4 linked regions of the Drosophila melanogaster genome follow. The protein of the gene in region 2 purifies or fractionates together with the protein of the main gene of each other region. This does not show direct contact. Each region holds a gene or a part of one and is shown on either strand. Other genes may lie near its edges.

Region 1 (8,053 bases), about 14 Mb from region 2:
ACTTACGCTAAATAGCTGATACTGGTTCTTTCGGAAACATATTTAACTCAAGAAACCAGTAGTAATTGAACGAAACAAACTTAGTTTTTATGTAATTTTATAAGAACCACCCTTGCTATAAAAAAAAAGTCTTAAATATTATATTATAATTTTTTGTAATGCCTCAAATATTTTTCGTTCTATTTCATCATTCCGTATTGCATGAAATTGTGATAAGTGAACTTATCGATATAAACCCACCACCAGCGCGTATTCTTTTCCGGTCTGGTTCTTTCTTTCCGGTGTGGCTCGTTGAAAAGATTGGACGAAATGGTGGGAAATTTTTCTTATTTGTGTTTTTGATCAAATGTTTTGAATATATCGAGATACTAAACGTTCGTTACTTCTTTCTCCACCAGGCTGCACACAAGTCGTTCAGAATAAAGCAGAAGCTGGCTAAGAAGCTGAAGCAGAACAGATCCGTTCCCCAATGGGTTCGCCTACGTACTGGCAACACTATTCGGTAAGTTCGGTGTTGGTTTTCCATTTAAATGTTTAGTATTGCAGTGGCAAAAGTTTTGTAAGGGCAAAGTATCCCAACGCAAGTGCGTTTAATTGTTGAGTGTACTGTCACTACCTTATTTTTAATATTCTTAATAACATAAAGATCATTGGTGCAACATAATCTTATTCTAATATTAACTTCAACTTTCCGCTTTTTCTTTCAGTTACAACGCTAAGCGCCGTCACTGGAGGCGTACCAAGTTGAAGCTGTAAGCTGTTGATTCCAGGAGTTCCGCAATTTTGTGGAATGCTGAAGATCTTTTCGAGAATATGAAATAATAAATTCGTCTACAATTTGCGGATTAAATATACTCTCTTTTTATTTGTATCTTGGGAAAGGGGTGGCATACATGCATTCGTAAATGCAACGCAGGAAACCCAGGCGGAAAATGTGACCGAAAGCATTCTCCAGTAACGAAAACTGAACACTTTCTTATCAAGCATGTGCTTTTTGCGGGGCATGTGCGAATTGTTTACTTCTCATTTAATGGAAAGACCTTCCAAATATATAATTGTTTTAACAATGCAAGAGTTCTGCACATTGTTTTCTGCCTAATAGGAATTCAACTGTTAAACCGAACTAAGAAAGATTTTCCTATTGCGTTGCTTAATTGGCAAATCTACTCTGCTGAATTGATGCAATATTATGCACTTCTAGTTTTCCTCTTGTTTAACATTTAGCTAGCCTATCTGAAATCGCATTCACGGCCGCATTGAGCTCGAAAGTAAAATTCTGTCCGATTGGGTCAATTATTACAGACTGTATCGCGTACAATTTATTAATTCTGTTTAAAAAACTGTTTATTCCGCGGGGACTTCAATGGAGCCCTCGTTCAGTTCGTCAATAACATCGTGAGGGTGCTTTCCGTCAACGGTGCAGCCGACGCTCTGGGCGGTTCCCAGAACTTCCTTGCAGGTTCCCTTCAACTCACGGGCCATGGACCTGGGCCTCATCACGCGGGCGATGGCCAGAATGTCTTCGAAGCCAATGTTTCCACTGTGCTTGACTGTAAATTAAGAATATCTGCTGTTAATCGGGGGATCAAGCACAGAACCATCCAGTGCATGTGGGCACAGTGCGGTGGAAGCAAAGCTCCTCATTATCCACCACAGCCCGGCACAGGCATTGGAAGTCCAGTCCAGGATTGCCGGGCAATACTCACTGTTCTTCTGCTTCTTGCGGTCACGTGGGGGTTCCTTCAGAGCCTTGATGATCAGCGAGGCGGCGGAGGGAACCACGGAGATGGCGGCCTGTCGGTTCTGGATGGTCAGGCAGACGGTGATCTTCAGACCCTTCCAGTCGGAGGTGGCCTTGGCGATGTCATCACCGATTTTCTTGGGCGACTACAGAGAGACACTTTTGTTAGCGCGAATTGCACAAGTAAACAAACCGATTTGCATGCTTACCAGACCGAGGGGACCGATCTTTGGGGCCAGGGAGGATGTGGCACCGACTTCTCCGCCCACGCAACGCAGGTACACTGTAATTTGGGTGCAGAAATTCGTTATTGAAGATAATCCTCTATTATAAACTACGGTTTGCTCGAAGCTCAACTCCTCACAAAAACACTCGCTTACTTACCCAATTTAACTTCCGTTGGGTCGAATTTGGGAGGCATAGCGGTATCTTGGCTTGAACAGTCGCTGTAAGGCAAAGATTACGTTAGTTTTCGCCGATTTTATTTGAGACATTTTCAGCTCATGTACTTTACCGCAAAAAAGACACACAGAAAAAGAAAGAAGAAGCTATCGATTTCCGGGAGGACCGTTTGCAAGTGATGTATCGCCCAGTGCTATCGGAATAAAAAGTGTCTCGAATGGAACGCGGAATTGAAACGAGTGTAATGAGTTTATATTTTTATTTATTCTTAATTTGAAATTAGGCTTTAAGAAATCTTTTTTTTTTGTTGAAAATGTTAAATACTAGTTGATATATTTTAAGTTTAATTAAAATTCAGATTTACATTTTTTTAACTACATTTCATAGCGGTCGTTGTAAATATTTTTATCTTCTTGTTAGTTCAGTTAGTTCAATTTTGTTAGTTCAATCTAATATTTATTTATGATTATGCAAGTAATTTATATCTGCTAGCTGAAGAAATACTTATTTGAATTTTCTCTATCAACTTACTAAACCGATTTACAAGACAATTGGTATATCGATTGATTGGCATTTGGCTTAAAAAATTATCGATTATTCTTCTAATCTTACAACTTATGAAAATTGTTTTTATTGTTTTTGTACTTTTACTTGACCTTTCCGAAAGTCGGTACATCAATGTTGAAATGTTATTTAACAACGGCATTTAAACCGTACATATGTACATGTACATACATAAATTGGTACTATACGAAATTCCGACCTGCCTCAAACAATATGCCTCCTCCATTCTCTATATCCGAGTACCTTATCTTTTTCAGGATACACTACACTTTTAAATGGGGTGTAGCAAAGCTCAGTAGCGTTGTCAATAATACAAGTTCATCTTGTACCCATTCAAAACCGGTAGCGTCACCCCATCTGGTTCCCGCCGTTTACCATCACAATGCTAAGTGACGCCATTCATTCGTGCGTCCAGACCAACATTTTGTTTACTTTTCCCATTTAGCTGTGCGAATTAGAATAAAGTTTGCTGAAATAAAGAGCTTAAACCCAATGAAAAACAGGAGAATCATAGTTTTACGGATGACGTTTAGGTAAAAAATTTTATTGGCAAACGTGTATCTTGTTACTTAGTTATTCAAACATGATGCTTCGAGTTTCTGTTATATTAATTACAATCGTTAGAACCAGATTTAAGATGTAGAGCCAACTAGCCTATAACAGCATCTTTGAATAAATTTGTTTCAGATGTAAATGCAACAGAAATTTACAGCGACACATTTTGCCTATTTGTCCAGAGCAGTATTGGTTTTAATTGCGATAACGCACTCCTCTCCGCACGCCTTGAGAACGGTGCACTGAAAAAGTATAATTAAATTATTCTCTGCGAAATAATAATATGGTGTCGAGGCAAACTCACCAGTAAGTCCTTGCCACTATCAAAATCTAAACGCAATTGTTCACCCAATTCGCCCTCTGGAACCTTCAAGTCTTCACGCAGATCTCCGCTCTCGGTCATCAATGTAAGGAAGCTATCGTCACTAATAGCAATCAACTGAAGGTCCTCCCTTTTGACATTGGGCACATCCATGTTATGAGTAGATGGGCAAATATCTTCATATCTGCAAAGACGACGATAGACAAAGCAGGCGTTAAGTAAGAGGATCTGGATTTGGCTTGAGGTGGCGTCGCCGCGTTGAACTCTAATTTTCCTCCATAAATTTATTGATAACTTTGGTCCAAGATAAGATTGCTTGCGCACACTTTTCGTTGATTACATTCAAGAGCAGCGCGTCGCTTCCTTTGTGTTCTCCGCAAATGCTGCTGCCACCAGATAGGAAGAAATATGCGAATATACTCACTTCTTGTTAGAGAAAATATCAATGCCAACCATATGAACCTTGGCGTGTCCGTGCTTTCCAGTCTTTGAAGTAGACATCTCGACAATCTTGCATGGCCGCGACTTCAGCATGACGAATCCGTTTTTGCGCAATGCCGAACATTGCATGGGATAGGTCGTCGATGCGCCGGAATCCGTGGTCTCGAATTGATCGTCCAACTCAGCCATATCTGCCGCACAAGACACAAGATGTGATTGAATTAATTATTTATCTATTTAATTAACTGCCGATTAATTGGGATTTGAATGCATTTACACTTAGGCACAAAGACACTAGCTGGTGTTGAAAGCACATTATATACCTCGGCGTTCTATGGGTACATACAGACACAGACGGATTCGCACATATGTATGTAAATACGTGTGTGTGCAAGCCGAAAAAATGCATACATACGTATGTATATATGTGTCGGCAAATGTATGTATCCGAAATGTCATATGCCAAATTGCATACCCAGGCACTTGGCACTTTAGTGTTCAAACATTTAATTTGGCAAAGTCATCGAGACACACGGCACTTGAAAGTTGTGTACTGCATTTTTGCACTTGTATGTGTGTATGTGTGCTTGTGTGAGTGTAAGCACTTTCTTTCGCATATTACTGAATGTGCCGAGATGACCGGAGGTTAATTCTGGCTTCCAAGCCGTTTTTGACCGTCTCCTCCGGCTGTAAGTGCCATTTAGGTCGTCCGCCGCTTCTCCGGCGAATTTGCAATTTTTTTATACACAAAAATGCGAAATTACTAACCTACTTGCAAAGTCCAGTGACTGTTCCAACCGAAGATGTAAAATGAAAGAACCCTGCTATCGAATCAAACCCACGTTTTGTTTCCGGTCAATAATAAGAAACGCACAGTGCTGCATCTTAGCACACGGATTGTCAGCACCGGTCGCTGTGCCAGTTTAGGAACTGTGGGAATGGAACGATAAGGCCGATGCCGTATTTTCGCCAAACTTACAATGGCCTGCCAACTCAGTCTTAAATTTGAAAACAACTATTTATAAGCTATATGTGTATGTATGTATGTATGTTGCAAGTAAACACTTAATTTTTTGTTTTATTATGTATTTGGTGCTTAAAATGTCTCTGTAAGTATAAATAATGGTTAAGACTTTAGTTTGCTCTGTTCATTTACACAATGTATACGCATGACTCGAAGACTATAGCAATTTACTGCTGATTTACTTTTTTAAAATAAACCTCAATGGGCAACGACGGTATGAAATTATCGTTTTCCAGGTGCGACATTTTTCTGGACCTTTGCGGCTTTGACCTTGCCTTAATATGGGGCTGCCTCATTTTTAAAGTACCACTGGAAATAGTCATAATTGCCGATTCTGTGACCAAAGCGTGTTTTTCTTCTGATATACCATCGGCGCGAGATTTTGCCAAAGTGTGACTTATCGCCTGCGTAGCGTTTCGAACGATAACATTATCATCGACCTTCGTCGATTTCCGGGGTGTTGCTGTTGTTCGGCGCTTAAGCTTTTTTATCGTTTCGATATCGGTATCAGCTGTTGTGTTTTTCGCGGCTTCTGGCATTGCAGTGGAGTTCAAGTGCTTGCGCCGTTGGTAAATTCTTTTCGGTAAACTCTTTTTGAATTCTCCCATGGCTTTGCTGGAATCTGTAGAATTTCTCGAAATCTGCACCGGAACCTTTTTGGTCGATGCCAAAACTCGCAGTTTTCTCAGTTTTCTATTGACGTTTGTTCTTCTTCTTGGCGGTGTGGGCGTAGTTGTTGTTGTAGTCGTTTCCAAAGTGGTGTGGTTGTCAAGAACAGCTGTAGTCGTTAGATTCTGAACGTTCTTCGGCGTTTCCCTAGTTGTAACCAGGTTTTTAAGATGAAGCTTCAAAAGTTTCAGTTTAGTTTCAATGCTTGAAGAGAAGTTTTTGGTCGCTTTCAGGGATTTTAGTCTGTGCTTATAGGATCCTGTCGTAACATTCGCCGTGGAATAGACGTTCTGAGCGGGTTGCGGAGTTGTCCATTTCGGGGGATCCTCAGAAGCCGCAGCTTCGGTTGTTGTGGTGCTGGAGGTAGTGGGGCTAAACCAGCTTGGTCGGGTGCTATATCTGTACTCCATTTCCAAAGCAGTGGTTTTCCCCGGAAAAGTGAATTCAGTGGTCGTGGTTGTTGTAGTTGGAGGCGGCGTGGTGTGCTGAAACCGCTCGGTGAAAAGCTCCTGGGGCCTTTCCGTTGTGAGAATTTGGTGACTGGGCCGAAATTGCTGGTCTTGTGCTGGAGATTTGCCGAGTTTCGATGCGGAATGGGGGAGAATCACGTCGTCAAGGGTGAAGTAGGTGTGCGCAACGTAGTTGAAGTAGGGCAAAGTGGTTGTCGTGGTCACCGGCAGGTCACTGGTCTTGCTCTGCGAGCTGTATTGGTCCTTGGCATACTCCTGGAACGGAATCTGGAGGCAGTTTTCGCGGCACTTGTTCCAGCCGTCGTTGGAGGCGTGGGTTTCGGAGTGGTTCCACAGACTCGGAGCGCCAATGAGGCGTTCTGCGCTCGGAAGGGTTCCCGTCGTGAGGGGCACGAAGGCGTTGACTGGGGCTGAACTGAAACCAATAGGTGCGTTTACCGGAGGGGAACTGTACTCAATCGTGTTGAGCGGGGCCGCAACGAAGTCAACGGTGGAAGTAGCAATGGGCAGGAGTGTGCTCTTGAACCCATTCACTTGGCTCAAGTCCCTGAAGATGCTCCTGAAAGAAATCCACTATGATTATACGTATGCACAAATGGATGATATGTGCGCTGATATAGACCTCTTCGAGTTCGCATAGGCCTCGTGGAACTGGACAGGTGAGGGCACGTATCGGGGCAGCATGTGCATGTTGCGCATGTAGTTTTTTAGACGCATTTTGCCCACCAGGATCGGGGTCCTAGCGTTGTACCAGTAGAACTTTCGCATGGCGTTCGGGTGCTGTCTATAGAGGACGATCCCTGGATGATCCACGGGCCACATCTGAAAGTCGATGCGGGCGTTCATACTTTCGCTTTTCCTGGCGTCGAATGCTTACCTGGCGTTTTGGCCTCATGTAGCTGGCGGATGACTTTATGCTCAGCAGTATGTACAGCAGTCCTGAAGCGAAGCGGGTGAGCTTAATTCGAATTTATTGATTTTAACCTCCATACCAGTGGTCATGTAAATGACAATAATGCTGCCTTTCACTTTCCCCAGCATCTTGAGCGATTGATTTTGGCTGCAGACAGTTCAAGACTAGCAGCATTGGTTTTTCATCCACATTACTTGCTACTTGGCTGGGAATCAAAGAGATGATCGACTTTTCAGGGATATATGCATTTGCCAGATCACTCACACTTGTGGTAAATGTGCATTTAATTTTCTTATTATATTTTATCCGCCTAGGTTCCCGAGTGAATGATTGTTGCCAAGTCAGTGCCCAGATGCTGCATCCAAATGGTGGCGTGTGTGCTATGGAGCATAAAACGCAACGCTTGGACAAGCCCATCTTCAGTTATAATTGTTGCATCTATATAGTTGGATACACTTTCAAAAGGTATGCACACTTTCGCAGCCCAACGAACCGATTCCCTCGCATCTTTGATACCCATTAGTGCATCTGAACATTGCGTGCAGTATGCAGTTGCATTTCAAAGCTACGAGTATGTTTTCTTCTTATCTCTCCATTAATCTAAACGACACGCTCGATTTGCATCAGAACTTGCGTGCATCCCTCCGTATTTAAATAAAGGATGGACATCATATATTTTCGAATTAGTCACGAAGAAATTGTGGAAAGGATTTCATGAATACGAAATGTGGCGGAAGTCAGTAATGAATTTTCGAGGATTTATAAGGTCTTTTGTGGAAAATAAAGGGTAAGAGTCAGCGATTCGAGGATATTGTCTACGGTTCGCAAAACCATCACTCTTTGCAGGCTGCTTTGGATTTTTGTGATTGGCATTTCTGGATGGAGCACCGTTTCCATATTGGTTCTATTGAAAACCAGATACGAAACGGACTCCACGACAATAGGGGTCTCG
Region 2 (7,784 bases):
GTGTATAAGGCAACGCACAGACTGTACTTTGAGTCATTTTATTGCTTGCATGATTTTCCATACGTATTTCTTGGCGCATCACAGTTTAATATGTTATTATTACTATTTATTTAAATCTACTCCATGTTTACTCCAAAGCAATGTGTCTCTTCATGCGAACAGTCTTTTTGCGTCTAAATTATCTTTCAGCCCATTCGTCTTCCCAAAATCCATTCGATCTACATATATGTGTGACTTGCTGAGAGAAAACCTATGCTGGTGTGTTTATTTTCGATAGACCCACGCACACAGTCTCATGATTTCACTCGCTCTTCACTTTCAATTGGAGGCTCGTTTCGTATACGTGAACGGGAGAGCCGTGCGATCTATGGAAGTGTGCGATTTTTGAAGGCACTCACAAATACTACTATGCGGCGAGTCGCTCTCTTCCTCGCTCACTGCCCACACTCTTTGGAAAATGATCAGCTGTTGGATCAGCTGTTTGGATTGCATGCACAACTTTGGAAATTAGCCACCAATTCTGGCTTATTTGAAAATAATAGTGCAATATAAACTAGATGTACTGTACTTTTGAGGCAGCTTCTAGAATTTCATCACAAAGTCCCGAGTTTCACGAGGTTGATGCATGCTAACATTCAAAAATAGAGGCGTTCGCAACAGGGAGGCCTTGCCCGCACGGCTGTACATTATATCGGTGTATATACATAGGTATGTATGTACATACATATCAGTGAAAACAACACTGTCGCTATCTCGCTCACTGATCGTCTCAAAGCAAGTGGGTATAAAAGCCAGGGATCTCTTTCACTCGGAATTCAGTTGTCAATTATCAGGCAAACTAACAAGAAGAGGGAACAAGTTTTCTAACCTATTCAAAATGAGTTCCAATTCTCTATTCGAAACCGACGAAGATGTCGCTCAGGCAAACAAGTTATCCCGAAAAGTGAAGGAGTCCCCCTTTATGCTGGTGGGTATTGCCGGATTCGTGGCCGCAGGTTTGATTGGAGCCTACAAATATCGGAACCGAGGCAGCATGAGCACCAGCGTCTTTCTGATGCAGTTGCGTGTGGCTGCCCAGGGAACCGTCGTTGGATGTTTGACAGCCGGATTGGCGTACACCATGGCCAAGGAGTACCTGCTCCACGAGGAACCGAAAAGCAATACCAGGCCAGACGAATAAATAAGATATAGTAGGATCATCGGCCAAAGACCAAAAATACATACATAAAATGGTGACCGTTAATTAAACTGTAAGTACATCTGTCGAAATTTCTGAATGAACAACTATTAATTTCATTTTCCCAACAGCATCAAATTGCCTACCTCCCCACCACCTTCATCGAATCAGAAATGGTAGAACAAATTATTCTAGAATTTAAGAAAGTTCTGCAAAGTATTAGCCATCAGGTTTAATCTTAGTTAAAATTAGTTAACTATTAAGCGTACACAATAAAGAATGTTTCTACCAAAAAACACTTCACTTACAGTTATGACATTTATGATTCATATTCCGTTGGAGTAATGTTATATTTAAACAAGAGAAACCGCTATAGTCAATTTCCTCGACTATCAGATACTCTTTAATTAGCTAGTGGGAGTGCGAACGAGAAAGTTCAACATATGTATAATAAAATGAATAAATTTCAAAGGCGTTCATGCAGACGGACAGCTCAGCCTCGACTCGGATATTGATCATGATCAAGAATTTATATACTTCATATGGTCGATAAGGCATCATTTTATTTGTTTTATGCTTTTTAAGAAATCCCAGTATATCCTTTTACTCTACGACTAATGGTTTTAAAAACTGATGCATTCCGAATAAGAACACTACGATTTTGATAAAATAAAAAACCAAATAATTTGTCAAAAAAGGTACACCATCTCATTTTCACTATTATTCCATCGTATATATTATACAGTTTTGACTTATTTACCAACTGCAATAGAAATACATCAATAGATTAAAATCACTATACCATCCGCAAGGAAATAAAAAACAGACATTATACAATCTAAAAGAACGTCAAAATCGCAGTAACTCCCCTAATTCTGATTGGATTACATTATTCTCCAAAAATTTCTTTCATTAAATCAATTAAAATAGTTTGGATATTTTGTTAAAATAATTTTTTATTAAATAAATGAACTGCACATAGTATATAGTATATGTCAGGAAATACGGCACATTATTGAATGGATCACAAATGGGGAACGGTTTTGTGTCAGTAGTTGTCAGTGGTGCGGACGTAGTTTACTCCAGACGGCATGGATACCTTATCAAATCCCTTGGGGAAGAGTTTATGAGCCTCTTCATCGGTGACAGTGGGCAGGATCATGACCTTAGTGCCAGGCTGTTTATGAAACAGAATTAATTAGTTCGGAACAGTTCGCATTAAGTGGGTAGAAAAACTTACGGTCCAGTTGGCGGGAGTGGCCACCACCTTGAGGCGATCAGTCAGCTGGAGGGAGTCAATGGTCCTCAGAATCTCGCTGTAAGATTAAAGGATCGTCAGTTGAGATTAACAATAGTTGTAGCCCGAAAGAGGTACTTACTCAACGTTGCGACCAGTGGACATGGGGTAGAACATGGAGAGGCGCACCTTATGGTCCGGACTGATGATGAACAGGGCGCGGATGGTCTTGCCCACCTCGGGATCCTTCTTCTGCTCCTCGTCGAGCATGCCCAGGCTGACGGCCAGGTCGCGAGTAGGGTCGGCGATGATCGGGTAGGGGAAGTCCCCGGGAATGTCCAGGCAATAGCTCTTGATGTCGTTCACCCAGTCCACGTGCGAGTTCAATGCGTCAACGGAATGTGCCAGGCACTTGGTGTTCCGCTTGGCAAACTCCGGCTGGTGCACCGCAATCCTGCCCAGCTCAGTGGTGCAGACGGGAGTAAAGTCGGCGGGGTGAGAGAAGAGCACCACCCAGCTGGCGATCCGAAGAAGAATTGGTAAGATTCGATCAGAGAAAAAGGGTTTGATGGCACTTACGAGTTGCCCTGCCACTCGTGGAATTTAATGGGCCCCTTGGTTGTGTCGGCCTCGAAGTTAGGTACGGTCTGTCCCAAACGCATCTTGCTGTTTGATTATTAGTTTCAAAAAAACTTAGTTGCTCAACTGGTAGCTGCTTTTAGCTCGCACACTTGTTGCTTACTGAATACTGACTGGGAGAGCTGGCTGTCTTTTATACCCAACGTGATCGACGTAAATAGCGGGTGCGATAGAGATAGGAAATGGGCGCTCCCTCAACGCGCGTGTTTGTTTGTAGTATATTATTCTGTGAACAGATTATAAAACAATACTGAACAGATTGTGGAGTAGTTTGCTTTGGTGGGGGGAGTGGGAAACCTTGAGCATGGTGTCATGTGTGTGAAACTCGACAGGGGCCTCTACAAAACGTGGTACATAATTTGGACTTTGAGACGAAATGCTTCTGGAAGTATCTTAGAATAAAGTACTGTTTTCCTTATTTGGTTCTTCATTAATCTCATTTTAAAAGTCCAATAGGCGCAAACTCCTTTAGCATCTAACATCCAAACAGCTGATCTGGTCCAGCTGACAGATAAGCCGGTTCCAAACATAAACAGAGAGCCAGAGAGCATTTAAATGTTAAATGGTATTGGTAAATAGAGGCGAAGCACCAACACCTGCAAACATACAGCCACATCGATAGGCGGATATTGAGAGCAAGAGAGCGCCGAGCAGTGTGATGGTATTTGTGAGTGCCTCCAAAAATCGCACACTTCCATAGATCGCACGGCTCTCCCGTTCACGTACACAAAACGAGCCTCCAATTGAAAGTGAAGAGCGAGTGAAATCATGAGACTGTGTGCGTGGGTCTATCGAATATTAAGCACACCAGCATAGGTTTTTTTTTCAGTAAAACACACAAATAGTTCGAATGGGTTTTGGAAAGTCGGATGGGCAGATCGCTAACTCAGAAGACAGTACCCAAATGGGATTCAGATGGTTGAAATTAAAATAAAAGATATAGTCATCATGGATATTCAAAATGCAGCAAGTGTTAAATTTATTTAGAGGTGGGTTATCTTTAACAAAATTGGATTCACTTCCAATAGCTCGATCGTATTTCCTAAGTTACTAGTACATTCGTAAGAGGGTGCTAGTTATAAGGTCTAATCTAAGAATTCAGAAACCTTCGTCTCTATAATAAACGTTTTGTAGTAATTTTCCATTACTTATCAGTTTTGTGATACCGAAAATAGAATTTGTTTTAATCGTTAAAAATTTAATGACCTACTTATTAATAACAATTAATAAAATTAGTTTAAAAATATTCGATATTTTGTAACCCAGCTTATTTAAGCTCACAAATTATCTTGTTTAAAAAACAACCCTAATAATAAGAACAAAACAATAACAACAATGTAAGAAAATGTGTTTCTTTTTGACTACCTCTCTTAATTAAAACTTATGAGGATTTTCACTTATAGCCGCAAGAATTCAATTTGGCCGCGCATATCGTTGATATTAATCCTTATAAATATGTTACATTTAAAAAAACATCAGAAAGAAACCCGCCGCCAAAAGGATGTATAAAAATATTCGTTTTCGCCTGAAAGTATGCCCCAGCAGACGATTTTGCTTACCAGCTTGATGCATTAACAAAATGGCTTACAAATGTAAGTCAACCAATATTTTGGCTGAGAGTCTCAACTTGAGACTGATATTAGTGTTCCAAAAGCTATTCTATTTTCGCATCGGTGACTGTAGGAAGAGCTTTTGCGCCTGAAAGCTAACGCTTGAAGTCAGCTTCCGAACAGCTGATTTTGATAAGCACCGCAATCGCCCACGCCGCATGTTTTCCTTTCTGCTTTCCTTCTTTGCTTTCGCTTTGCTTTGCTTTTTGGCGCTCCGGCTCAGTTCAAATTTAGCGATGCGCGCGTGCGGTAGCTGAGCGGTCGAAACATAACGGTAAACGGTCCTCGAAACTGTTTTTTGACATATTTGTCTTATCGTATCGCCCCGACTTTGAGCCTAGGGACCGCCGTTCGTAGTAAACTAGCATTCTGACAAAGTGCACACACCTTTTGGCAGGCGGCGAAAACTTTTGTCCGCGAAAACTTTTCCACTTGTGTGTTGTTTGCCCATGCGGTGCGTTCGCGTGTGTTTGCCAACTAATCCAAACATGTGAGGCTACAAACAAATCATCTTTAACACTATCCACCCATTCAAACGGAGCGTTTTCCCAAGTGATCTGATCGCCTCGTAGTAAAAGTTTTCCCTTGACCAGCTCTAATGGTAAATGCAACGATAAAGTTGTTTTCCGAAATTCGGCGAAAAGTTGCCAGCCAACTGTCCTCATAAAATATGCCAAGACATTTACATCGCCCGGCCCAACTGCTTTAAGCCCGCTGGCACCCGTTGGCCATCAAAGTGTTAAAGTGCTATAAAAAACAGGTACGAAAACATACTCCCTCGGTGCCCATTGAATAATGCATTCAATTACGAATGTCGCCAAAATAACTAGAAAAAAAAATAAGCAACAATTTATGCGCACGTGAGGTGTGGGCACAAATGTTATTATTCATATGTACACGCTTTTGTTTACTTTGCCTAATGTTCTCTTTCGGACCGACAATTAATATTTAAAGGTACTCTTGTAATTCATGTTGAATGTAATTAAAGGATTGTTTGGTAGGTAGGTAATGCTTTTTGTTGTTCAGGCAATTAAACATTTCAGTGGCCCATTTAAATTAAATTAGCTTAATACGTACTATATGTGACTTTAAAAACTTGTTGGCATTTGGGCAATAACACTGTTAAAAATAATTGTTTAAATAGTGTTAAAAATATATAAAATAAAAAATCAAGATTAAATAATAAAATAACTTTAACTACAGTTTCACAATAATACAGACCCGCCATTTAAGGTATTTTTTGAAAATACCTATTGAATTTAAATACAATTAACAGCTTATTCGAGATTATTTAAAGGTTCAAAAGGTGGCACAAACAAGAGTAAAATCGCATTTAAATTGAAAGTCAGCGGGACCCAAAACCGTTAGACAGATCAGACCGCCATAAGCCTTAAATATTAATGAAACGATTAAGCAAACTTTTTTTGGGAAGCGTCATTTGTACCCCCGCGAATGTTTTTCTTTGTGTTTTTTTTTGCACTTCATGAAATGTTAATTTTAATTAAGCGCCGCTGCGCAGCTGAGAAAAGAAGTTAAAAAATAAAAACGGGGATTAAAGGCACGTGGAAAAGCGACAGGAAAAGTTGGAGTGTGTATGTATGTGTGTATGTAGTTGTAGCAAGGTGAGGGAGTGGTGTAGGTACAATGATAAAACACAACCAGAAAAGAAAACAATAAGTCAGCAGTTGATGATGAGCAGGTGTGTGGCGTTGCAAGGGACAGGAAATGCGGATTTCCTTCGCTCCTGGAAAAGCGGGTCAAGTTTTTGTTATAAAATATTCCAAGTGTCACAAAAAAATAAACCAACGAAAATAATAATAACGAGTGCAAAATGGTAGGCGGGGGGAGGGGGGAGCTGGGTTTTCCGCGGATGCGTCTTGTTTAGCAGCTCCGGGGTCCTTTGGTTAATACTTGTGCAACAGCAACAACAACAACACAAGTGGAATAAGGAAAAGCCAAAGGAAAACGCTACAACAACAAGCAAAACAACAACAAAGACAACTGGCGACGACTTCTTGCGGGACATTGTATAGGCCAAAGAATAATAAAGACCTGGAAAAACAAAGACGCGAAGAAAATCCCCTCGCCAACAGTGTTGATAATGAAAGCGCGGAAAATGCACCTGCAAAATAAGTGTATTGCCGCGGAGGAATGCATATTATATATTTTTTTCATATTTTAATATCTTTATATATATCTGATATGCGAGACAATATATATATATAATACTGATATAGACAATACTGATATATATGAGACAAAGTTTGTTTAACTTTGTAGTTTAGAGATACCAAGTATCTAGATAGATGGTATTAAGATAGCTAAAATAATGGTAGCATCTTAGGGAAAAGCTAATATATACAATATGTATAGGAATTATATTTCAAGCAGCCCTTTTTAATGCAATTATTCTCCAAGTGTAGGAAGTAAAGTTGGGGGCCAACTGAAAACGGGACACGCAAGAGCGAAAGGCTTAGGAGCACAGGTCTGGGCAATTATTGTTGATGAATACACCCACAGAGACCAATAGGAAATAGGGCTGGGGGGTCAGACACCCCACCACAAGCCCTTTTCAGCACGCAAAGTGTAGCTTTTCTTTTTAGGAGAAATAATGGAAAGCGTCCCTCCATCCTATGCATGAAAAACAATAATTTGTTATCTGTCCGCTCAGAGGATCCTCTCACTTTCGGGCCTAAGAGCAGTCTATAAATCACAAAAACCGAAAAATATCCATCTATGCGTGGGCTAGCAAATCGTTTTGTGTGCGACCAAAAAGATAATTAAGACATTATGGCATATCTTGGCTGGCTGGCATATACATACATATAACAATGAAAGGACCTCTCGATGTGCTGGCATTTCATAAATAATGATTAGAAATTTAATGGGTTCCGCACGGCGCAGGAAACAGGTCTATTTATCGCTAAACAAATTGGCAAACTAACCAACCAGATAGGAGGAAATCAATATTGTAATACAACAGATTTGTTTCCGTAGAATGAAACATGAAACATGTGTTTGTTTAAATTAAAGCACCTTTATCTTTAGCAGAAATTCAATAAATAAATTTATCAAGGCGTACAACGTTCACAAATACCAAGCATTTGTATATATTTCGTAT
Region 3 (7,579 bases), on a different chromosome or scaffold from region 2:
GCTGACCAGTGTGTAAATGCATATGCAGATGGGATTCAATAGCACGATCTGGGTTCCGATGGACCACCAGAACCAGCCGACATAAGACGGGTGGCGGCAGTAGGCGTAGATCCCGCTTGTTATTAGCTTGTGTTCCGAGTGTTTCTCATTCTGGACCTGTAGGAATAGATGTGTGATGAGAAGTTTACAAGCTATTTAGTTAGTTTTAATTAATAATAGTGTGATAATTCCTTAAGTGCAATAATATTTATATGTCCATGTATTAACAAATCATCACGACTAACCAAGTGAGTGAAGCTCCGGCCAGCTGTGATGATGGCTGCCTTGCGAACCATCTCGCCCAGCAGGCACAGGACCACGCCCGCCACCCAAATGTATCCGTATCTCTTGAACTGCGGCAGGTAGTACACCTCTAGTGAGAACTCGATCCAACTGGCTGCCGCCGCCAGTCCATAGTGCACAGAGTGGTTCAGCATAAAGGAGTCGAGACTGAGAGTGCGCGGATTGGCAAAGGCGATAACGAGGAACTCCGAGTAGTGGAAAAGGGACATGAAGCATCCGTAGGCGCCAAATTGCTGCCACTCGGTGGGAGCAAAGCAGATGACCAGCACACTCACGGCCATGGCAAAGCCCAGGAAGGATGCCCTAATGGCCACCTGTGGTGCAAGAATAGTTAGCGCCATAGCACTGATAAGGTTTATCGCGTCTCATCGATTGACTCACCTGGTAGTCGTGGTTCCGCAGCACAAACCGTATGATCATGTTAATAAGGGCGTAGTACAAAAATGGACCCCAGAGGACGGCGCCCCACACCTGTGGCACCACTCCATAAAGATTCTGGGGCACCGAGGGAATCAGGACTAGAGCTGCAGTAATCAGAAAGCAATATAAACTGATGCGGCCTTCGGAACACAGGCTGGTGCCACCGGCCCCAGGAGAAGCCACTCGGCTCTTTGCACACATAACTGGGGAATCGGGATTCTTTTTGTGCTGCTGCTGTGCGCAAAAACACGGAAATTGAGGTTTTTTAAAACATTTGCTTGGTTTAATGCGCCAAAATGTAAATAAACCGGCAAAGCTTTCGATAACGATAGGCAGCACAGTGAATAACCGCTAAAGTATAGGCTCGTGATTATCATAGAAATCAGTAATATAATTCTTACAGCTTTTAATAAAATAAATCATAAATCATAAATTAAATTAAATAAATAAATATTTAACACCACGTTTAGCAGAAAATGGTTTTAAAAATAAATTATGCGGGCAATTCTCTTTAGCCTATACCCCCTGTAACAATAAGCGATAGTTATGCACTGTTACATATCGACATATCGAGTTCTGAGGATTTAATTTAATTTTATATAGTCAGAAAAAATTTAATAGTAACTTAAATGAATTACATTTGTAGGTATTCACCTATACCTTTTTAAATAAATTTCTTAACTGCACGCCTTGCATCGATATTTTATCGATAACATGCTCATTTTAGCGCCGTGCAGGTTATGTAAAATAACAAGTAGAGTCGTTGAGATCAATTAAAAATATATAAAAACTCGACCGATATTCTGTTAATATCAAGCCATGGTCTTCCTGAACCTTCCCTTGCTGGTACGGTCCCGTGGTCCGGACGAATTCTGGCGGAAGAGACGCATCTTCAAGCTGGCAGCGGTATGTTTCCGAATATCGTGGCCACAATAAAAATAATGAGCTCTTAGTGCTTAATTTCTGCAGCATTATAGAAGCCGCACTCGCAATGTCTACTCCTTCGCCATCCGGAGTGTCCATAGGGCACTGGCCTATGCCACCAAGGGGCGAAAGCTAAAGAAACTGGACATGGCGCAACTGTGGAGCACACGCGTGGAGGCGGGTTGTCAGCAGTATGGAGTAGGTCTGGAAACCTTCAAAGAGGGCCTCGCGCGCTCCGATATTCTGCTCAACAAGTGGGTACCACCGGAAAATTCCCATATCCTTTAACAACCTATAACATCTTTCAGAAAAGTCCTATCCGACCTCGCCATTTGGGAGCCGCGATCTTTTGAAGCTCTAGTAAAGATCTCTCGAGAGCGGGCAGCTGTGGAGGGAATGCCAGACATCAAACGGAGATCGGCATTTAACCAGGTCTATGGACTGAGCAACCTGAAGTTGGATTAACATAGCCTTAAGTAGGAGTTCAAATATAGATATTTGTATGTTTTAAACGTGTAATCTTTAATTTTCACTTTGAAGGGAGTAAAATCGTTTGGGATTTGTTCTTTAGATTAGTTTTTAACTCCGAATTCGTATTTACATTTAGTTACATAATTCGTAACTTCTGCTTGCTGAATGAAATTTGATACTAAATCATTAATTTATTTACTGCAACTACCTTTTCCGCGAATGAATCCAATATTTTTTCGAGTAAAATGACAAATGTGATTAATGACAAAACACCTGTGCTGCTAGTTTTAACAAGTAACTCGAAATTTATTCAATGACGGTCCATGCGCAATGCAAACAAAAATATTGCATGAGCTTTTATTGTAGTTTTTAGTTTCGGGTTTGTGGGTGTGTTACATACTAATAAAAAGCATAGAATTCATAGAATTGTGAGACAGTGTCCGGAGGCGAGATCTACTCCAATTTGGCCAGGATGTCGGACTCGCGGAAGAGGAACAGCTCCTTCTGGTCACCCTCTAGGTTCACCTTGGTGCCACCGAATTCGGGCAGCAGAACACGATCGCCCTCCTTCACGCCAATGGGAATGTGGTTGCCAGTGGACTGCGGATGAAGTGGGATGTTCAGTGATTAGATGACCATCTCTGCATTGATAATGGCGAAATACTCACGGCATTACGGGTGCCAGGGCCTACGGCCAGAACGGTGCCCTCAAGTACTTTGCCCACCGCTTTCTCCGGCAAAACAATGCCTCCTTTCGTCTTGGTCAGCGCCTCGGCACGCTGGATTAGGATGCGGTCCAGCATGGGGATGATCTTCTTGATAGCGGCGGCCTGAGGATCATTAAAAAAGACCCAACAATTAACCCATGTTTCAATGTTTCATGTTTCTCTCATTGATTACACAACAGCCCGGCGAATGGGATGTGGACCGAAAGCCGTGGAACCTTCTCGAAAAACCGATATCATCCTTCGATTTCAAACTGTCTTCTAAACCTCATATGGGGCAATGCACTTTTAACTTACCATTTTAATTCTTAAATGCAAACTGGAGCGGTTGATAAAAGTTAATGAGTGAACTTTTTACTCAACTACACGTGCCGGCGTAACTATTCTCGCTAGATGCGGGACTGCTTATCGTCGGTGTGACCAGGCTATTTCACGGATATAACATTGAGAAATAATTTTTTCTGTTCGAATACACTGAGAGAAGTCAATGCAAAAATTAATAGTTGTGTATAACTTTTAAAATGGTAATAAACTTTTCGCCAAGTAATTGCCGAGTTGATTTCCTATAAAACATGAAGATGAAAATGAGTCTGGTGGGTGGACTTCCATAATAACTTGTATACCAATTTCAGGAATTACTCCTTTTATATGCAATTTAAACATATTAATTTAATTTCCATTAATTTATAATAAACATGTTGTGCAATTTTCTGTTCTCATCTTTGTTGAGCTAAATAATCGTTTTTTAAGAAATTAAATCAGAAGCCCAGAAATCTTCTGGGCTTTACTGGTGTTTTAATTTTTTCAAATTTACTAATATTAAAATATAATATAATATAAAATAAACATAAAACAGAATTGTTTGTTTACTTCCTCGAAATTAGGTATGTTCAAACCAAGGAGTTGCTATTGATACTAGCGATTTAAATCGATTGACTCTGGCAGCGGATTGTTCACACTACACCCTGTTGCAAAGTGCAAGACAATAAAGACAAGCAACAAAATAATTGAAAAGTGTGGCATTCCTGAGAAAAATTAAAAAATTTCAGAATTTTCTAAACATCTTGTTTTTAAGAAGGGAAAATAGCACGAAACAACTATCGATAGCTGCTGACACTCCCACCACTAAATCTGATTGGGAGATTTATTTGAGTCACCGTTTTGCCTTGTTTACATTTAATGTAATTTGTACCAGATAAATCTTATTTGATTTTACTCAAGTCAAGTGGCACGATGTGCTTTTGTTGTTCACTTAGTTTACAGTTTGTGACTGCTATTTTCGTTTAGTTATATTCGCCAATAAGCCAGCAATTAACCCACTAAAATGTCTGATCGTCGTGGCACAAAAGTTGGAACTGGTACGAAGGCTTTGGAGTATTGGTGCCGAGTTGTGACCCAAGGATATAATGGGGTCAAGGTGGAGAACATGACCACTTCCTGGCGAAATGGACTTGCCTTCTGCGCCATAATACACCACTTTCGGCCGGATCTTATAGATTTCGACCGACTTAAAGCAGACGATATCTATGAGAACAACGATTTGGCCTTTACAACGGCCGAGAAATATTTGGGAATTCCCGCACTGCTCGATGCAGCTGACATGGTTTCGTATGAAGTACCTGATAGACTCTCCATACTAACGTATTTATCCCAGTTTTACAAGGTGCTCGGCAAGAGCCTGAAGCACCCGAAGCCAGAGGAGCCACTTGGCGAAGAGAGTGAGCCACCGCAAAAGGTGATGCACATTGTTGGGATGCCTCGACGTGATAAGTGCCAGAAATGCAACCTTCCTGTTTTTCTCGCCGAAAGGGTCCTTGTCGGCAAACGGGCTTATCATCGCACATGCTTAAAATGTGCAAGATGTTCGTCATTGCTCACACCCGGGAGTTTTTATGAAACGGAGGTCAATAACATATACTGTTGCGAGACTTGTCCCGATGAAGAAAGTGAACCGGAATCTGACATTTTAAAGTTAAAGACAACCACTACTGATTCTCCGAATGATAAACAAATGGTGGCACAAAGTTCTGATTACTCTGAAGCTGAAGATAAACAAGAAGACCTGGAAGATAATGATATACGTACTACTGATAAGCCTGAAAACTTCCAACCGCCGTCCAACAAAGATGAACAAAATAATGAACTAACTATTAATCCGGTAAACCCTATATTATCAGAGGAGCGTAAAATCTCTTTTATTCCACTAGACGAAGAAGATGGTGGCCTTATTGAACAATATAATAAATCAACAACTCCTGTAAAGCCCGCTATACCAGAGAAACCAAAAGTCTCTACTCTTCCACTAGACGATGAACAACATGCTGGCGTTGAACAAAACAATGATCTGGCGGTTAGTCCGGAAAATGACATTCCAAAAGAGAAACTTAAGATTTCTTCGGTCTCAATATATCTTGAAGATGACCGCCTTGTTGTAGATGCAATACATCCGGATAATTTAGATAAACAAGAAGCTTTGAACAATACATCAGACGCACTCATTCCAGAATCACAGGAAGCACCGATTCCTGAAAATAACACTCAAGTAGCCATTAAACCAGAAGACCATATAAGCCCGCGTAAAGAAAATAAAATTTTCTCAAACACAGAAAGCTGCTCTAAGCAGGAAGGTGTTCTCCCAAAACAAATGGATCTCGAGTCTCCCAAGGACAAGGTAATTGAGACAAAAGCATCTGAAACTGACTATCCAGAGGATCTAAATCCCTTTAAAGATGATGACTCATCTAAAGGTGCCAACCCATTCGACAGCTCTGATGATGAAGTGGAGCTTCTTAAAGCCATTCCAGCCCAACAAAGCAAAGGAAAAGTTGTACCGCCCCGTCCACCGCCACCTAAAATTGGCCTTTCATCCATCTCCAATCCGTCAGAGAAACCACATTCCAGCCCTACACTTTCGCATGGGAAAAAAATGCCGATGCCAACACCGAGAATATCTATATCAAAAACCCAGACTCCAGCAAAACCAATGACGCATCAAGGCCAGAAAAGTAGTATTTCCTCTTCGTCTTCGGAGCATTTGAATAGCATAAGAACGTTCGATCGCGGAGCAGATGACCGTGGCTCAAGCATCTCCTTGCCATCTGCAAATGGGCCTCGCAAGCCACTTCGCGCCTCAGTGGGGAGTCCGCTGCGAAGCGAAGAATCGAGTCCCACTACCAGTCTTAGCTCTATTACCTCTCCGATGCGGAAGAAGCGCCAGGCACCTTTGCCCCCAATACAAACGGACTTTGACAGTGATCCTGGATTTTCAAAATTGTCCGACGAACAAAAGGCATTGTTGCACACTCAGCTTAAGGCCCCAAATCTGGGTGATTCAACCAGAAGACTAATACCACTTGACCAGAGTCTGCTATCCGATGAGGCAACCGAGTCGAGTAATTACGACGAGAGCTTAAGTACATCCAATGCCGACGAGGAGGTAAATGTGGTATACCGACGCATTTTGGTGCCGCCAACTCAACCCGAAAACACTGTTGAACGTAGCAAGGAGGATCAAAAATCGCCTATCGTGTATAACGACTTCGATAGAAACGTAAGCCCATTGGGGCACAATAAATCCACTCATGGGAAATGGAAGAGGCGAAAGGGACCAGCACCAGCGGTTCCAATACCACCGCGCAAAGTCTTACAAAGGCTTCCGCTGCAAGAAATTCGCCACGAGTTCGAAATTATTGCGGTACAGCAGCTGGGTCTTGAGAAACAAGGCGTTATTCTGGAGAAAATGATCAGGGATCGCTGTGAGCGTTCCTTAGATGCCACCGATACTGATGGTCCCGAATCCGCAGAAGTGCTAACCAACTCAAAGGAAGTGGAAGATCTTATATTGCAACTGTTCGAGCTGGTCAACGAGAAAAACGAATTGTTCCGCAGACAAGCGGAACTGATGTACCTTCGACGTCAGCATCGCCTGGAGCAGGAGCAGGCGGACATAGAGCATGAGATACGAGTATTAATGGGGCAACCGGAGCACAACAAAACCGATTCGGATAAAGCCCATGAGGAAGTATTAATCAATCGCCTTGTGAAGGTGGTTGAAATGCGTAACGAAGTAATTGATAGCCTAGAGACTGACCGAGTTCGCGAGGCGCGAGAGGATATGAGCATCAAGAATCGGCTTCATATATACAATTCTGAGCGCGAGGAACCACCAGCACATCCGAGAAGCGCTGACAAATCATCCAAAAAGCTGTCTAAAAAGGAACGAAAAAAACTTAAGGAGGAAAATAAGCTGGGCAAGGGCAAAAAGTCGGACCTCGACAAGGACGTCGATGAGTCCGAACAGGCACCAGCTTTGGAAAAGGTTAAAAAGAAGCGAAACTTGTTCTTTTTGAAAATGTAGTTGGGGGCTGGTTGAGTTGAAGTGTTTACGCATCGAACAATTGAAATTTATTTTATATAAATTTGTAACCTATTAAGTTTCTATTGCCATATGTGAGCATTTCAATAAATAAAGTATATATTTTCCTTTAGCAACAGAACTTTGGATTGAGAACGACGAATGCGAATCATATTACTATATAACTCTGGGATAATAATTTTTAAAATAAAACAGAAGCGAATTAATCAGTTACAAATTCTAAATCTTAACCTTAAAAAACACAAAGCTCCCACACATTTTAATTATTACTTCGGTTCTGTGATATATTATTATTATGTTTAGTTAGTGGAGCTAGTATGTT
Region 4 (8,158 bases), on a different chromosome or scaffold from region 2:
ATAAGATAAGACAAGAAGCGCAGGTAATCCTCTCTCTCCCTATTACATGTAGCCCTGCCAGCTCTGGCGGAGCTCAGCCAGGTGGGTTATGAACGCGATGCACGGGACGTGGAGTGGGTCGCCTGGAGAGGAGAACGGGCCCAATTGAAGCTGGCGCATCGCAGCTCCCTGCCCAATTATGGATTTGCTCCACCGACCATCCGCATGAAGTATAGGTATCCACGAGCCGTCTTCTTCGTTCTGGCCACAAAATTTTTTGAGGCCTTTGCTGCCAACGGCATTCGCAGTAAGTTTCCAGATTTCCATCCAAAAGCAGATAATCGATTTTTGGTCAGGTCAAAGGCATTCGTCGGCAAAGTCTGGTTGAAAAATTCCGAAACCAGGCTTATCAGCGGCACAGAAATATAAACACAAGGAGGTCTTATTGACAGTCAAAAGACCTGTGATGGTGCATAATATAAGAGGCATAGATAAGATGAAAATTTAGGTTGCAATTGGCAAATAATGGGCAGGAACAAGACCTAGCATTTAGTTACTTAAAAAGAAAATCTTCAAAAATAAGATAACTGACTCAAGATTATTATTATTGTTAATTAAAACTCCTGGAATTTTCCCATTGATGTGAATCTTAAAAAGAACATCCATCATTAAAGAGATGGCTTAACGAATTTCCAATTAAGTCTCAATGCTACAACCTTTATTTCATGGTCAATAATTCGAGATTGACTGCAGCCTGACCCACGATTACGATGTATACTCGATTCCAGCCGTACTCGCACTCTATCTGCGCGACGATCTCAACTTCACGGAGAGCTTTTCCACGGTGGTGCTGCACATCTTCAACTTTTTTGGCCAGTTCTGTCCGATCATTGGGGCGATCCTAGCGGATAGCTACATCGGCAATGTGCGCACGATATCCGGCTTCAGTTTTATCTACGCCTTTGGATGGTTACTCCTCACACTGACATCCCTGCCTGCCATGGGTCTTCCGATGGTGTAAGTACTCGCAACGGATTAGGATGAAGGATTTAGCTTATTCCACTTGCGACTCGTAGCTTGCTGGTGTCCATCGCTCTGCTGTTTATCGCCGTTGGCAATGGATCGATACGAGCCTGCATCACCTCGCTGGGCGCACTGCAGTTCAAGCTGCCGGAGCAGAGCGTCCATCTGGCCGAGTACTTCTCCTTCTACTATTTCGTCTACTATTTTGGAATATTCCTGAGCAAGATCCTTCCGCCGCTGGTTAGAGCTAACACGCAGTGCTTTGACAAGGCGGAATGCTATCCAGCCGTATTCGGCACCCTTGGCGCAGCCTTTATGATGGCCTGGTGTAAGTAACTATCAGTTTTCATAGCTTATTTCTATTTAATTTACGCATGCTTGTGGTATTAGTTATCTTTCTGGTTGGAAAATGGTTCTACAAGTCCGAAAAGCTGTCCGATGACAACATACTCTTCAAGTTCTGCGGCTGCATAAAGACCGCTCTCGTGGAGAAGTGGCGACGTCGCAAGTCGACAAAGCGCTCCAACTACTGGCTACACAATGCAGTTGTAGCCTACGACATGGGTTTCGTCAATGATGTGTCCAGAGTTTTGAGGGTCAGTTATACTTGTGTTATAATGAAGATTCTTTCAACTTCATAATTTCGTTTCTTTTAGATATCCAAGCTGTTTATCCCACTGCCCTTCTACTTTGCTCTGCTGGCGCAACAGGATTCCAGCTGGACATTCCAGGCCACCCAGATGAATACCACATTAATGGGCGTGACCATCCAGCCGGATCAGGCCAAGGCCGTGGGACCCATCTTTCTGTTCATGCTCATCCCTCTATGGCAGTATATAACAGTGCCCTTGCTGCGCCGCTACTTCAACTGGGAGCTCCAGCCGCTCCATAGTGTGACTGTGGGTGGGATCTTCTCCGCCGGCGCCTTTTTCTGTGCAGGAGCCTTGCAGGAACGAATAAAGGTAAGCAGGAATAATAAGATACCTCACCTGATCGTTTATTAACCCGAAATATTCGAAGAATTCCCCGCCCCAAACAGTGAATATAGCTTGGCAACTGCCCCAGTTCCTGCTGCTCATGATGGGCGAATTACTGCTTTCCATTCCGGGTCTCCAGTTCGCCTTCACCCAAGCACCGACCTCTATGAAGTCGGTGGTCACGGCAGCCTGGTTTCTAAATAATGCTTTCGGCAATCTGATCGTGGTTCTGGTCACCGAGCTGGGTATGCTTAGCTCACAGATGGCCGAGTACTTCTTCTATGCGGTGGTAATGCTAGTTTGCATCATCCTCTATGCCCTTTTGGCCTTCGATTACACTCTGCAGGAGCGCAAGGCCGGAATGTATGTGAGGATGGACAGTGAAGCGGAGGACCGGGATGTGCCCAGCACCAGCCGCAGCGGGAGCATATAGGAGAAGTTTCTACGGTCTAGTATTTTCATTGCACTTGTAATTTATTGATAAACGCACACAGGCAAACATGCATTTAACTGAAAACAAATAAAAACTAAACTAAGATCAGTCGATTATCTTGAACATATACTGCAGCTCCAGGTTGGAGTCATCTGGCAGATCAGTGCAGTGGACGGCGTTCTGCACCTTGGACTTGCCGAACTTGGCGCGCAGCGTGTGAGGCCGCAACAGTTTGGCGATCTCCGGATCCATGGGTCCACAGAAGTTGCGGAACTCGCGATCAGTTTTCTTTTCGGGATCGGCGCAAGCAATCTCCATGCACATGCATACTCCACTGGCCAACTGAGCAACCATGGGTATATACTCGGGCACCACTCCGCGGTAGACTTCGTAGAACTCCTCGCAGTTGATTCGGGCCATTAGAATCATGCGCATGGCTGTCAACCGAAAGCCATTCGACAGGATTTCGGAAATGATGTCTCCCAGGAGACCATCCTTGATGCTGTGCGGCTTAATGATGGCAAGTGTTGTATTCTTGAATACACATTCTTTAATTATGCTGTGCCTCGCCTCAGATATGAACTTTAGGTCCATTTCCACGTCGTTGTCGTTATCAGAGTAGTAAAATCCATAACGAATCTCCTCACTTTCAAACAGCTCTTCCAAACTGGGCGACAGTTTCACACTGGGTGTTTCCGCCTCTGTGCTCTTGTACTGGGCGCAGGCCTTGATGGTCTCCACTACGTTGTCGCCGATTAGCTCCAGACTAATGGCCGGACCAGCCAGCAGCTCGTTCATAAGGACTCTGGAATTTAGAGGATAAGATGTGTTCCTTGGCATGCCATCTTTACTCACGAAGAGGAGACATCCGTCGTGTCCTTGCCGGACAGAAACTGAGTTACCATTTTGGGAGAGAACTGAACCATCATGCCCTGGTTTATGTTAATCTTGTTGTCGATCAGAGTCTTTAGGAACTTGCCCAGGTGCTTCGTCCACATATTGTTCTTGAGCAAAACGAATCCCCTGAAAGAGATGGGAATTACAGATTAGCGAGTGGATAGCTGTCGATGAAGGAACATACTTCTTGCGATATTTGGCTAGGTTTGTCCGCGTAGTGTCGTCAGCATAATCCACAATGTCAAACTGCCGGCCAAAGACATTGATCTTGGAGCCCACAAAGAAGTCGCGCTGGGTCAGCTCCGGGATCTTGGTGCGTCGCAGAAATGTGCGCTTGTTGCGCTGGTCGAACTGAGGGAAAACATGGCCTTGGTTAAATGTGTTTCTTTGAAGAACTTGTGCTACCAATCCTCACCACTTCCACGGCCTTGTCGGATACATAGTAGGTGATCAGAAAGGTGCGTATGATTCCAGCCTCTGCATGGAACCACTCGGCCACGAAGGCCAGACGCCGCTCGCTAGCCGGAATCGCAGCGGGTTTCATGGTATCGTTTTGAGGGGAATCTTATACCTTGCTTTTCCGTTCTATCGCTTGACAGCAAGTCCTTTATTTCGAGTGATAACTGTTTGTTTGCTTTGCATTTCAATTGTGCTTCTTCTTTCCCGCGTTGTCACAGCAACAGTGTTGCCAACATAACAAAATTCATTTAAGTGGGCGCAAAATTTAAAGAAAAAAATACCTATGTTAATTTTAAACCCAAATTCTAGGGGATTACCCATAAACAATTTTTAACCATTACCTATAATTTCTTTTTAAAATCGCTATCTATTCAAAGATAAAGCCTTCTTTGCGACATCTTTAAGAAGCTGGACTGCGCATTCCGAATTTAACAGTTTAGAGATTTCTAGAACATTTATAGAATGTTGTAAACTTATAAAATATTGAAAATAAAAAGCCGAATATAAGTTTTTCATTTTTTTTATTGTTAATTTCCTTTATTTACAGGAAACAAAAATAATAAACTGCAAACTGATTTTTGCAATAAATTGGTTGTAGCTTTCCTCTGGTTGTTAAATTCTAGCGTAAAACTTATGGTTTCCCTTGTCGGCGCCAAATCATCTTGTTCCTTGTGTTGCTTTTTGTTAACATCTCTCCTCTGAATACGCATAATATTCAGGTATATTAAATGTGGTTTTCTTCGATTGGAATAGTGTTTCATGTACGCATGCGTTTGTGGATGTTTTATGAGTGATTGAGTGTTTCTTCTTTTTCTTTTCTGGTGTGTATGTGAGGAGTGAGTGTTGTGATCGTGTGCTGACTTATGGTATAAGAGCCACGCCTAACGCTACGACTACGCCAAATTGCGAGACACCATCTGAGCGACCGTCTAGGCAGCTGGCTTCTTCTCCTTATCACCCTCGCCGCCCTCCTCGTCATCCTCGTCGTTCTGGGACAGACTTGGGATGTTGTCATCCGAGTCCTCCTCCTCGTCATCGACGTTGAAATCGTCGAACTTGTTGTTCCAATCGCCACCAGGGCTGTTAAGGAAATTTCCAAACATGCTGTTGTCTTTTTGGTCACCTGCAAAGTGCGTTTGTATGAGTGGGTTTGCTGGATGAGATCTTGGGGATGAGGATGTCAACTTACCCTCCTCGTCGTCGGACTCATCGCGCCACTTGGCAAAGTTGGCTTTTAGGAAATGCAACTTGGTCTTGTCCGTGGTCAGCGAGGACCAGTAGGGACCGGCCGCCTTCTTGGGTATTGTGAATTCCAGGCAGCGGCCAATGTTCTTGCTGGTCACCTTCTCGGGATCCACCTCGTGGAGGAAGTTCAGTGTGACCTCGTACTTCTTCGACGGATCCAGCACGTTTACGCCCTTGAAGGTGAAGGTTTTTTCCGTAACTCTGTTTTGGGATAAATATATGGAATTAGGATGTGCAAGGAGCATGGACATACTACATATGGGGGCATATACTTGTGTTCGATGTCCTTGCATTCGACATCGATGATGACGTAGATCAAGTCATTGCGCTGGGCCCAGGAAACTGGAGGCGGAATCAAGCTGCAATGGAGGATCAAGTTGGATAAACATAAATAAGAGCTTCATGTCGTTGTGCGAGATCCGTTGCCATGGCAACTCGCGTCGGACTTTCTGGAAGCGGGTGCACGAACTATGTAAATAGCTTCCCAGCTAGCTAGATTTGCATAAACCATAAGCCCAGGCAAAAGTCCATGCCGAAAATGCACGGCATTACCGCCAGCCGAAAACATAACCTCAAACACTGGACCCTCCGATTAGTTCCACAAATATCGCAATGCAGATGCGCACAGGACACGCCCACCGTGGACACAAACGCTTGGCCAGGCGGATGAGCGCGAGAATAAGGGTCATCCGAACGAAAATTATGTGTTTTTCACGGCCGGGAGTTCGAAAATGGACGCCGCCGCAACGACAAAGCACGCGACGCACAAAGAAGCCACAAAAAGATGGTCCGGCTATCGCCGATTGGCACTGAGATGGCCGGTTGTGGACTCACCCTGCTGCTGCCGACATTATGTTGTTGCTGTGAATTGTTGGTTTATGTTTTACGAAGTCGGAACACTTCTGACTGACAGCCTGACTTGGTTACAAAAAAAGGCAGTTTCTGTTGAACAAAATTGTCATGCACAAAATTGACATGAGAAACAGAGTTACCGAGCGCGCTGCGGAGATGTGACTAAATTTGAACGGTGCTCTGGGGTGCGAAACTTCGATAGTTGTACTCAAACCACAAATGTTAGCTTGTTACGTGTAACGTAAATTTGAAGTGTTGTGTCAAAACATTTTACATTGTCGGTAAAAAGTATTGAAATCAACTTTTATTTGGTTCAAGGAATTTATGATGATGATTATAAATCTATGATCTACCAAAGTCGGCACGTTTTGGCGCCAGGACGCATGCCGCTGCCCACGGAGCAGTTGTAGGCGTGGAAGAAGTCCTCGCTGTTGGACAAAACTCCCAGGACACGAAATTGGTCGAAGGTGTGCACATCGCTAAGACCTTTCCAGTAGTGCTCCTCCTCGTAATGGGAGCAAAATAGCTGGGCAAATCCCAGGAAGAACAACTGTTCCGGCGTGAGATCGAGACCCGGCATGGCGTCGCTTATCCTCTCCTGCCCAGGATGCTCCAGCAGTTGCTGCCTGTGACTGCGATAGGCCGTCAATGCTTGTCTTAATCCGCTATTGTCTGCGATATTCTCGTCCAGTGTAGTTTTTCCGTTGACACGCCTGCTGATCTCCGGTACCTGGTACTTGCCATAGTAGTCCATGTAGCACTCGGCGCGATCCTCTAATGCCTGTTGCGAAATTTCCGACAACAAGGACTCCATGTGACCATTGCCATCGAAATAGGAGCTGGTCGTATCGAAGCCGTGGATGAGTTCATGACCAACGATAAAACCCAATGTGCCGAATTTCAGGGAAATCGGCAGGTGGCGTTGGTATATCGGTGGTTCCACCACGCCAGCCATCACATTAATGGAGTTGTCCGGAGTGTAGTAGCCCGCTCCAACCTGCAATCCTGTCAGGATCTTCTGTGGCTTGGTGTCATTGGTCAGCTCCTGAAAATGCCGACTGCTAAATCGATTGATTTGTACAACTAGGTGCTGCAAATTAATGTTGGTCTCCGCATAGCGATCCTCGATGACTTTCAGACTGTTGATTTCCCGGATTATTCGATCCGAAAGTGCATCATCTTGGAACGAACCAATGCGTGGCTGTATTCTGGACTCCTTAAGCAGTGCCCTCGCCCTGCTCTCCGCATCCAGCCAATCGGCATCCTCCAGCGCCTTTCGCAGACTCTTTCGCAGTTCCCGCACCATTTCCGACATCTCCAGCCTCTTCGCCTCACTGAAGTTGTTCTGTAACACAAGAGTGTTGAGATTATTTGGTATTCTCATCATACGCATTCGTTACCCACAGCCATGTAGAGTTTGTTGAACAGAAACCGCATGGATTGATAAAGCGTAACCGAACAGTAGTTCCTTTGGTACCTGGGCGCCTTCAGTTTGGGATCGAATCTATAGAGCAGCTTCATGGCCAGGTAGTTGGCCACAGCCTTGCGATGTCGGGCGCATACTTTGTCCAGTTCAACGTAGTAAAAGTCGCAGAATAATTTGTTAGTGGAGTGGAGTCCACTCCACGAGATGTTATAGTAGTACTCCGATTGGGGAAACACTCGCTTAATTCGGTAGGGATCAAACACTTCGCACTGGGGCGGGATCTCGAGTGCGTCCCGCCAGAAGGCAAAGACCCCAGCGATGGCCTCCCTAATCCTGTCCTCCGGCAAGCCGAACGCCCTCAGATATCCGTGCATTCGCTCTTCGTTCAGGCGAAAGGCGCGTGTGGTATTTCTGGAAATGTTTTCCTCATGTACGATGATGTGATCGAAGCCCAGTTCGGGCAGTTTGGTGTAGGGCTCAAAGGGATACCTTAACTGGAGAGTTTCGCGGATCAGACCGTTGGCGCCATAGTTGGCCAGATGAGCACTCATGTTGATCCAGTTAAAGTTTGAGGCTTTCCAGGCGTCTCCATCCACAGCGGGAAATCCTCCAATCGATCGAATTAGACTCAAGTAAGCGGGATCCGCCGCATTGAAAGGATGGAGATTTGCTCCCAGACAAGCGTTGTAGAATCGCTGGGCCACCGCCAGTTCGCTGGATACGTTTAGAGCCTCCGCCAGATCCATTCTGCCCAGCAGTTGCTCCGTGATGTCGATCAGTGTGTAAGTCACGTCGCCCAGGTTGCTTCTACTGCCCGGTGAGTACCGATCCGGCTTTACGTTCCGATAATTTCCACAGGCATACTCG

Evidence for each region.
Region 1: the proteins of Prx6c (region 2) and eEF5 purify together in Drosophila melanogaster (affinity purification with mass spectrometry, with the first as the bait; one large-scale study listed by BioGRID). This does not show direct contact.
Region 3: the proteins of Prx6c (region 2) and CG11267 purify together in Drosophila melanogaster (affinity purification with mass spectrometry, with the first as the bait; one large-scale study listed by BioGRID). This does not show direct contact.
Region 4: the proteins of Prx6c (region 2) and p23 purify together in Drosophila melanogaster (affinity purification with mass spectrometry, with the first as the bait; one large-scale study listed by BioGRID). This does not show direct contact.

The regions. Positions count from the first base shown.
Region 1 is NT_033778.4:24,054,647-24,062,699, reverse strand, and holds eEF5 (eukaryotic translation elongation factor 5), read right to left. Parts: upstream 4,903-8,053; 5' UTR 4,798-4,902; exon of another isoform or gene 4,794-4,797; intron 4,217-4,793; 5' UTR 4,215-4,216; coding exon 4,009-4,214; intron 3,769-4,008; coding exon 3,567-3,768; intron 3,505-3,566; coding exon 3,433-3,504; 3' UTR 3,418-3,432; exon of another isoform or gene 3,362-3,417; 3' UTR 3,217-3,361; downstream 1-3,216. Other genes in the region: RpL39 (ribosomal protein L39), read left to right, coding at 310-312, 399-502, 708-756; RpL12 (ribosomal protein L12), read right to left, coding at 1,345-1,550, 1,707-1,887, 1,951-2,024, 2,126-2,162; CG13563 (uncharacterized protein), read right to left, coding at 5,217-6,747, 6,811-7,010, 7,066-7,127, 7,181-7,229; ppk29 (pickpocket 29), read left to right, coding at 7,827-7,888, 7,948-8,053. UniProt on the Drosophila melanogaster protein: Translation factor that promotes translation elongation and termination, particularly upon ribosome stalling at specific amino acid sequence contexts.
Region 2 is NT_033778.4:10,414,097-10,421,880, reverse strand, and holds Prx6c (peroxiredoxin 6c), read right to left. Parts: upstream 3,164-7,784; 5' UTR 3,077-3,163; coding exon 2,994-3,076; intron 2,932-2,993; coding exon 2,557-2,931; intron 2,494-2,556; coding exon 2,418-2,493; intron 2,355-2,417; coding exon 2,226-2,354; 3' UTR 2,120-2,225; downstream 1-2,119. Other genes in the region: CG11825 (uncharacterized protein), read left to right, coding at 715-778, 834-1,180.
Region 3 is NT_037436.4:13,011,765-13,019,343, reverse strand, and holds CG11267 (uncharacterized protein), read right to left. Parts: upstream 3,295-7,579; 5' UTR 3,183-3,294; coding exon 3,180-3,182; intron 2,988-3,179; coding exon 2,826-2,987; intron 2,758-2,825; coding exon 2,611-2,757; 3' UTR 2,441-2,610; downstream 1-2,440. Other genes in the region: Icmt (isoprenylcysteine carboxyl methyltransferase), read right to left, coding at 1-156, 285-656, 724-963; mRpL20 (mitochondrial ribosomal protein L20), read left to right, coding at 1,582-1,668, 1,732-1,940, 1,995-2,151; MICAL-like, read left to right, coding at 4,207-7,239.
Region 4 is NT_033777.3:9,675,776-9,683,933, reverse strand, and holds p23 (p23), read right to left. Parts: upstream 6,008-8,158; 5' UTR 5,865-6,007; coding exon 5,848-5,864; intron 5,373-5,847; coding exon 5,286-5,372; intron 5,215-5,285; coding exon 4,958-5,214; intron 4,892-4,957; coding exon 4,698-4,891; 3' UTR 4,276-4,697; downstream 1-4,275. Other genes in the region: CG9444 (uncharacterized protein), read left to right, coding at 53-286, 768-996, 1,056-1,330, 1,393-1,598, 1,659-1,964, 2,023-2,412; nmdyn-D7, read right to left, coding at 2,518-3,217, 3,268-3,435, 3,494-3,660, 3,725-3,853; Nepl12 (Neprilysin-like 12), read right to left, coding at 6,215-7,210, 7,270-8,158. UniProt on the Drosophila melanogaster protein: Cytosolic prostaglandin synthase that catalyzes the oxidoreduction of prostaglandin endoperoxide H2 (PGH2) to prostaglandin E2 (PGE2).